2 linked regions of the Oryzias latipes genome follow. The protein of the gene in region 1 purifies or fractionates together with the protein of each later gene. This does not show direct contact. Links are inferred from orthologs where the notes say so. Each region holds a gene or a part of one and is shown on either strand. Other genes may lie near its edges. The genes, in order: ddx24 and fbl.

Region 1 (4,542 bases):
GGAAATAACAGAGGGCTTTTGATTGGGGGTAAATAAATTCTACTATCCTCACCTTTCTCTTTCTGCAAACCTCTCCAGGTTTTTCAGGCGCTGTTTCTGGTGCATGTTGGCATGTAGAGGCAGTGGATTGCATTCTAGGATAACCAGCAAAGAATTCAATCTTTTGATGCAATCAATACTGTTGGCAAAAACCATGGTGCGGCCAGGATACTGGAGCAGGAAGTAATATAGGTAGAAGTCCTTCTCATCCTTCTGACAGTGGATCTGTGTCTCGGTCAGGGTCTCCACAGTTGCCTCTTTCCGGGTGAGGTCGATGACTTTAGGCTTGGACTTAATTCCTACTTTTTCGATGAGAATGTCCAGTTTGCTCCTCTTCTCCAAGTTCTTCTTCTTCTGAAGGAGGCGGCTGGGCAGGCTGTGCGTCAGCGTCAGAGTGGCAGAGAACACAAAAGTCTGCCGTTTGGGGTTGAAGTGTGTGGTGTTGAGCATCTCCAGCAGGCTCTCCAGCTCGGCAAAGTGTCCTCTTTCCACCATGCGATCAGCTTCATCGATCACCAAACACCTGGATCGGGAAGAAAAACGCAAAAGTGTCAAACAAAACGGGTCGGTCCCCAAAGCAGCAGAATCCGTAATGGAATCCGTAATAGGTAGATTCTGCTGCGATTTCAGGAATAAGAGGTCGTTGGTTCCATTGAGCCTCCAATACCAGCATTTTTTGGGGTCAGAAACCTATAACTGAACAACATAGTAGAGCTGAATGTAGACATTTTAACGTGCTGGACCATCATTTGTAAGCTAGAAAATGCAGCTTATAAGGAAGTGTGAAACTCATTATGTGGAAAATGTAGACAAAGGTGTTTTAGTTTGTAACCAATGCAGCTCTTACTGACCTAAATGTACGGTAATGACTTGATGACCAATCATTTATTTAAATGACAACAATTTAGATTTTGACAGACTGAAAGGAGATCAATATCAGTGCGTTTGAATGGTGACAAACCGGAGGTGTCTGAGGTTAAGCAGATGAGGATGCTTCTCCTTAATCAAGTCCCACAAACGTCCAGGGGTGGCAATAATGATCTCTGGGCAGCGTTTCAGCATCCTCTTCTGTTTCTGCTGGGCCATTCCCCCCACCAAAATGGCTGTCTTGATGTCTGGAACATGGAAAAAGCAGCTCATGGAGACGTATTCCAGCAGATGCAACGATCAGCAGAGATCTCCTTCCCATTTGTTCAGAAATTCTTTGCAAATGGGCTGTGTTTGACTGTTACAACTCACACAACATTGATGTAAACACTTTTTTTTGCTTCATTAGATATGTTATTCTGAGCTGAATGCGGTCACATGCTTCCTTGAATGGAGACTCACCAGTGAATTTTGTGACGGCATCAATGTGGTGTTTGACCTGAACAGCCAGCTCTCTGGTGGGAGTCAGGACCATTCCCAGGAGGGGCCGAGACCGGCCACCAGCAAGTTGTTCTTCCACACAGCGCTCGGCATTTTTGACCGTGCAGACACTTCCTGTTTTCTCATCTTGATCCTCGCTGCCATCTTCAGCTGAGCTGTCCTCCTCATCTGAAGCCTCCACACTCCCCTCCTGGTTCCCCACAGCTGTGGACTCATCTTCTGATTTTGCAGACTCCTCCACTGATGGTAAATATAAACTCACCACCTTTGGGGGAGTTTTGTCGATGTTGTCATGAAGACTTTGTTCTGTGCCGCGCTTCCATTCTAAGATGGCGTGGATCATAGGAATACCAAAAGCTAACGTCTTTCCACTTCCTGCAACGACACCCAAACTTCACGTGAGAACATGTGGAAACAAAGGGGCAAAAATCAAGACTTAAAAAAAAAAAAAAGTATTTTAGCTCACCAGTCTCAGCTGCACCCAGGACATCCATATGATCTCTGATGGCTGGGGGTAAAGCTAAAGCTTGAATGGGAGTCGGTGACTCAAATCCCAGGCTGCTGAGAGCCTTCAGCACAGAAGAGGGAACGAACAAGTCCTTCCACGCACTCACATCAGATTGTTTGTCATCATCAGAGCCACAGAGTGCAGCAGAGGTCCAGTTCTTTGTCTGCTTTTTGATGGGTTTTGTCTTATTTTGACCTTTATTCAAACCTTTTGTTTCAGATGGAGAATCCAGCTTTGGCTGCTCCTCCGTGACGGGATCTTTCTCTGAATGATTCTTCAGTTTCTTTTTCCTTATTTTTTCTCTTTTTGGGGGGTGTTCTTGTTCACAGAGGTCCTCACTGATCTCATCCTTCCCCGCCTCTTTATCAACAGCCTTGTCTTCTCCTATTGCATCCCCACTTTCCGATCCCACAGATTCCTTTGGAGCCACCTTTTTCCCCTTCTTTTTCTTCTTTGCTTTCTTCTTAGCTGGCTCAGCAGGAGTCTCTCCAGCTTCGTCTTCCTCCGCGACTTTTCTTTTCTTAGCCACCTTCTTCTCTCGTTGAAGTTGCTTCGCTGCAGCTTTCTCGCTGTCTATCAATCGATAATCCCTCAGCTCTTCAAAACACACCAGACCCTCCAAACCCTGCTCCGAGAACACACTGGGATCTATTTCGACCGCTTTCCATGTTCCTTTAGCGCGGATGCTCCGGGTCTTTAACCTAAACGAGCTGTTTTTGTTTTGAGCTTCCACTTTCTTTGTCTTCATTTTTCTCACTTTTTCTACAGTTTTAATACATGTGAATTATCTTTGATGCTAAAGGTGAAGACGAGTGAACCTGTGAGATCTGACACGAGACGTTTCCGTTAGCCTTTACGTTTGACGATGAGCGCAACTGATTGTTTACAACTTACTGCTAATGCATTGAACAGGCTTTTTATATTATTAACAAGGAATACAATGGTACGTTACCCGGATTCGATGGAGCTTTATGAAGTATCAAAATACACGCACAACCGTTAACAACCATGCAGTTCACGAGGGCGCAGCCATGACAGTGCTGATCACATGTTTTGTAAAAACTTTATTTAAACACAGGATGCGTACAAGCCCGAAAAGAAGGGTGAGAACGATGATTGTATGTGGAAGAGAGCATCTCATTTATGTCCAAATGTATTCTCTGCTATATAAACAAGAAAACATTTAACAAAGCAAAACCTGCTAAAATGCTTTAGTTTTTCACATTTTAATGCAATCTTTTTGTTCAACCCATGGGATAAAAGCTTAAAGTCTGCACTTCAATGGCATCTGAGTTGTTTAACTTAAAAGTCACTGTGGTAATGTACAGAAACTAAATTAGAAAAAACGTGTCTGTCCAAATATTTATGGTCCTGACTGTAGTTCGTGGTTGCTGATACGACTCATTTTGAACAATCCGATTCACTGAACTAAAATCAATCCAGGTTTTAATCTTTAAGCCGAAATATATCTGGGTACTAAACAGTGTAGGTGAAGTTTTCCAGATTCCTTGTATTTGTTTGTGTTGTCCGCTGTGATGGTACTTTGTTGTTTTTACGTTATTGTAAAATGAACCCACAGGGCCTCAATCCAGATGGGATTTTCCAATATTGATACAATCCATTTATTTAATTTTGAAAGGATTTTATAATGGTTTAGGTTAATTTGATTAACAACTTGCCTCAGGCAGACTGATCTGGCTGGAGAATACAAATCAATTAATCGACTAAACTGATAAATCGTTACGCCCCTATTTGTAAGTGACACTACAAAACAACAAAATTGACCTGGATTTGCAGGTCAATTACAGAAAACATGTAAAGAATTCAGATGTTTTTTGGAACTGAAGGGGCCAAACTCATCTCTTGATAAACAGCCCCACATCATAATACTCCTTCCACTTAACGTGACACTTGACTTAATGCAACCAGGAAGGTGATCTTCTACTGACAACTGCCAATACCTGTCTTAACAATAATGTTTGCAGATGAAGAAATCATATACATCACTTGAGAGAAATCATCTCTCAAGGGAACAACATTCGTATCATAATATTTAAGTAGATTTCTTTTTATATTAATATTTTTTTATTGTTTTGTTTTTATTTTAAGAGGATAACATCTATGTATCAATGTAAAACATAATTCTGTCCACAAATATTTACATGAGATCTGATTTTTACCCTTCAGAAATACCATTTAGTTGAAACTGCTTTAATAGTAAGTGAATAGACAATTCTTAATCATTATTGTATTCATTTCTATATAATTCATGCATATAATAGTATTTAGCAGAAGTACACTAAAAAAAAAAGATCTGTGGTAGATTCAACCACTAAAACACCTTTAAAACTCATATTTCGCTTTTTAAATTGAAAAAATTCATTGAATCAAAACAAAAAACTCTTTATTCCTTTATAAGTTAAAAAAGTTCATAAGTCATTAGTTGTACTAATCAGTAAGTTGTTTATTGACTACACACTAGAAAAGCAACTGATGGTAAACTCTGGAAAACATTTATTATTATTTTTTTTTTAACTAATTTTGCATGATTACATTTTTAATAGTTATCAAAGCACCAGTTGTAACAAAGCAAAGCATGATTAAATAAAATTGATTAAATACAAAGA
Region 2 (4,351 bases), on another chromosome or scaffold:
CGCCAAAACAAACAGCTCGCGGGTAAAGTTTAGTTTTTTAATAGGTAGCTTAATTTGGCAGGAGGTCACACGAGTTAACATTTGCGCGGTTTCGCAAACAGGCGACCCAGTTCGGGGGGGAAGTGCGCCCTCTGCTGGCGGCCAGAGAGTGCGGTTTCTCTGTGCTGCAGACCTGGCGGATGTCTGCCCCTGCCCCGCTAGAGCCCAGGTCAGGTTAGCCTGGACCAGCTGTACCAGGGTTAGGGATGGATCACATTGGCTCAAGCTAGGTTCTTTGAAGGTTAGCTGAACAATTTGAAACGGCAACAAACCCCACAGTAACAGGTTTGATCCACACTGTCGCTTCTCTGGGTTTGGCATTAGCCCACCTGAATCTGGTGCAAACCAAGGCCAGACCAGGCTCTGCTGGCATGCAGATGAACCAGAGGATGGCTGGCTTCCGCGTGCACACTGACGTCCCACAATGGAGAGAACCAAAAGCTGGATCCTAAAGCATCTGTAGGCCATCAGTAAGGAACAGTTGCAGAAGCTTAGACTGGCACCATGGGCTCCTTCTGACTAATAGGGATGCCTTCGTGTCTCGTCACTCAGCGACTGAAGCAGATGCTGGATGAAGTTCCAACAGCGTTGGGACAGATGGGAAGAGCTGAATGGGACATTGGTAAACATGTGGACACGGAGTTCTTGACATGTGCTCATTTCAAACAGTAACAGAGAAATTAGAAGTTTCTTCTTTATTTAAAAAAAAGGAGAAAAACGGCTGGGTTCAAATATATATTTTCTCATCAACCATGCAATCTGATGGACTGATAACCAAATGAAAGTGGTCTTCCTCTCACGCCTGGAGAGGCTCCTTAAACAGTTATAGGTTATTTCCATGGAGAGATCCACAAACATCCATGAAGGGATGAGCGAACATGTGAGTCGGACCACGCTTGTGACAACTGAACCTCAAAGCGTTAGCAGGTTTCTTAGACAGCAGTAGGCTGAAGTCGCAGCGAGTAACCACGAATGACACCTTTCCAGCCTCGTCTAGTCAGAGAACAGGGCTGCTTATTCCTTTGAGGAAGTTAGGGCAACCAGTCTTTAGTCAGAGGAGGGGGGGGGGGGCTCAGGACTTTACAAAAGCAAAAAAACACTGAAGAAGAAGGGAAGAAAAAAAAGGTAAAAACAGCCAGTGTCAAAGGTCTTCTCGTTCACCTCATTTCTTCTGCTTTGGTGGCGGTCTGGAATCAGAAAACAGAAAGACGTCACTTCTTTGACATTGAACCCAATTATCCAATTATCTGACGTCTAAAGATGTTGGATTTTTCATGAAACACAAACATCAGATCTCCTTTAGCCAATCACAGCAGTTCACAGTTCATGAGATACCAGATCATCCACAGAAAGCCAGAACATACCAGGATGTTTTCCCCTTTATCAGGTTTTGTTCTACATCAATGAGATGCAGTAAATGAAGTGAGGAGAGGATGTAACCATCATGTCCTCTTTGTGGAGTACAAATGTTAAATCTCTGCAGACATTTTACTCTAAGCGCTGCAGCGTTTATAAAAAACAGAAGTTTAAAGACGAACATGTGGGTCAAAGGCTTTTCTGATTGCACTTCCACGAGTTCTTTGCTTCTACTTTTTCTTTTCTTTCCCTGTATTTAGATGTTAACGGACACAACATTCCTTTGTTTACTGATAAAAGTTTACTGTAAATATTAAACGAAATGCCAAATAAAGAACATTCACTCTTCAAAGTGAATGTTTTTCGTTTGCAAAAAGGCTCCTTCGGTTAAACACAGTGATACTGAAACCAGCGCCCGTCTTCGTCTCTGCAGCATCACTGACGGTCAGAGATGACTTGTGCTATGTCCTCACCGGTCGTGTGAAGCGTGTTCAAGAACGCAACGGGCATTCTTGAACACGCTTTTAGCAGACGGTGTTGCCCATTATTGGCGCATTCACTCACAGTTGGACAAGTCTACGTGGGAAATGTGGAAACGGTGCTAATCGGGTAAATTTTGCTCCAGACTTTCTTTCGCAGCTCTATTCCAATATATGAAAGACTTTGTGTCATTGAATTCCGGCCGGACACTAAACCACAGTTATTTTCTCCTTCACGATCAATTTTTATACGATTGGCACTTCCGTGTTTTGAAAAGGACGCCATCCAGACGTCGCCATCAAAGAGTCCCCGATTAGTCAAAGTTCAACGGGTTTAAACTAGTGATGCGCGTTCAGTGGCCGTGCATTTTGTACACTGAGCCCAAAAACGGACTTCCAAAAAACAAGGAAGCCTTAAAAGCGCATTTACTTTTCAGTGGAAGCAGTTGCTTGAACATGCGTTTCTGAGCCCGGTGTGAACGTAGCTTCAGAGGCTGCATGTTGACAAGCCCCTGCTGTTCTAAATACAGACCAAAATGGCAAAATATGTCAAATTCCTGTTTGATTTTAGATCAAAGCGGTTTAAAAATGGAGCAGTGTTCTCTGGGTTTAGTAGCAGGACGTGCAGCAGCGCAGGCTGTAAGCATGTCTGATCCTCTGAAATGTGTTACCATCACCTGCTGGTACCCACTGACCCAAGCCGTCAAACGTTCCATACTTTACCTGTAGATGCCCACCACTACCGCATGGTCCCTCTCATAGGGCTCCAGGGTGAGCTGCTCCTGCGGTTTCATGTTCTCTGAGCTCATCTTCTTCACTTCTGACGCAAACACAGCCTCTGGAGCTGCTGTGGAGTCGATGCAGTTGGCCTGAATCAGGAGAGAACTATGATCAGAACCGAACAGATACACACAAAACACGGATTCCTTCTCAACACCACATCCTCTCCTCATCCCCAGGGTAGTGCGTCTCCAACGGAAATGTGAGCCGTCATACCTTAATGGAGATGACAAAGTGTCCACCATTCTTCAGGAAGTTGTGAGCATTAAGGGCCACGATTCTGGTCTGGTCAGGCTGAGCGACGTCAGCAAAGATCACGTCCACCATGCCTGCAGAGGAGCACAGCGCCAACGTGAGGCCGGGGAGGAGAAGCGCTCTGTCCGCACAGCCGCTGTGCTGAGGCACTGACACCTACCAACCAGCATGCGGTACTTGTGCGGATGGCGGGCGTCTTCGATGATGGGGATGATGTTGGTGCGTTTCTTAGCCACATTGAGGAGATCGCGGCCAGATCGGTGGGAGAATTCCACTGCATAGACCAGCCCCTCCTTAAAACAAAAACAAGATCCAACATGAGTCTAGAGGGGGCGGAGTCAGACGGTTTATTCTGACAAAATGTGTCAAAGCTGCATATTGATCAAACCACATATGGGTACTGACAGCAGTGACGCATTTTCACAACAGCAACAACAATGCGATTACTTCTGAAATGTACTTACTGGCCCAACGATGTCAGAGACGTGGGACACCGTGGTTCCCGATGCGGCTCCAAGGTACATGACCTTGGCTCCGGGTTTGATGTGAATCTGGTCAACTCCTCCAAGAATGGCAGCTGCTAGTTTGGAGCGGAAAGGATTCCAGGCTCTGTACTCAATCTTAGTATCACCCTCCTGATCAAAAACAGGAAATCCACAATCATCTTCCAGAAGAAAAATCCACCAAGTCCAGCTCTGCTGCAGAAGCCAGCCAAGAGTTTACGTCATCTAGCAGGAAAGGATCCAAACATTTTAAAAACAGGAGTTATGGTTTCAGTTTTTACACTTTGCTGTTGCAGGGACCAGAGGCTGAGGGTTAACCAACCCTTCAGCACTGGAGCTACAGGGACAACCTCACAATACAGAAGCGGCTCTTTACCTCCACGCTCATCCTCTTCTCCCCGTACACAGACTCTCCCACCACCATGTTTTTGGTGACGAGGGCATCCTCCTTCCCTCTGCAGATAAACACCCCTGGAAGAAACCACGACCCAGACCGTCAGACCCACATACATAACCTCCTTACATCTTCATTCTGAAACGCTCAAAGGGCCGTCCCACTTAACCTTTTAGAAAAATACACCTTTTTACACCCATTCCTTTGTAAGATTTACCTTTTAAATATTTCTAAAATCTTATATTTTTCTATAGATAACATCTGGAACTTCTTTACTCTTTACAGCAGCAGATCTGTGTTCCTTTCAAAATAAAGTGCACGCTGTGTCAAATAAGATCCTTCTGATGCAGCAGATTTACTTACAATAAAAATACACAAAAAACAGGTCAAACGTGACATTTTCTGTCATGACTTTGGTGCGCTTTCATCCTGTTTATTTCTTTTACTGTCAAAACTAAACATAGGTGTAGAAAACAATTTTTTAAATCCACTCGTGTAAATGCAAAATACAGACTTCAAAAACTCTGAACAACAACCAGACATCG

What was found.
Region 2: the proteins of ddx24 (region 1) and fbl purify together in Homo sapiens (affinity purification with mass spectrometry; 3 studies listed by BioGRID and IntAct, with this or other methods). This does not show direct contact. The link is inferred for Oryzias latipes from reciprocal best matches to the Homo sapiens genes DDX24 and FBL.

The regions. Positions count from the first base shown.
Region 1 is NC_019880.2:12,476,791-12,481,332, forward strand, and holds the start of ddx24 (ATP-dependent RNA helicase DDX24), read right to left. Parts: upstream 2,985-4,542; 5' UTR 2,868-2,984; intron 2,743-2,867; 5' UTR 2,664-2,742; coding exon 1,874-2,663; intron 1,783-1,873; coding exon 1,369-1,782; intron 1,155-1,368; coding exon 1,001-1,154; intron 563-1,000; coding exon 53-562; intron 1-52. UniProt on the Homo sapiens protein: ATP-dependent RNA helicase that plays a role in various aspects of RNA metabolism including pre-mRNA splicing and is thereby involved in different biological processes such as cell cycle regulation or innate immunity.
Region 2 is NC_019874.2:7,462,182-7,466,532, reverse strand, and holds the end of fbl (rRNA 2'-O-methyltransferase fibrillarin), read right to left. Parts: intron 3,884-4,351; coding exon 3,789-3,883; intron 3,545-3,788; coding exon 3,374-3,544; intron 3,203-3,373; coding exon 3,070-3,202; intron 2,984-3,069; coding exon 2,871-2,983; intron 2,744-2,870; coding exon 2,598-2,743; intron 1,227-2,597; coding exon 1,202-1,226; 3' UTR 720-1,201; downstream 1-719.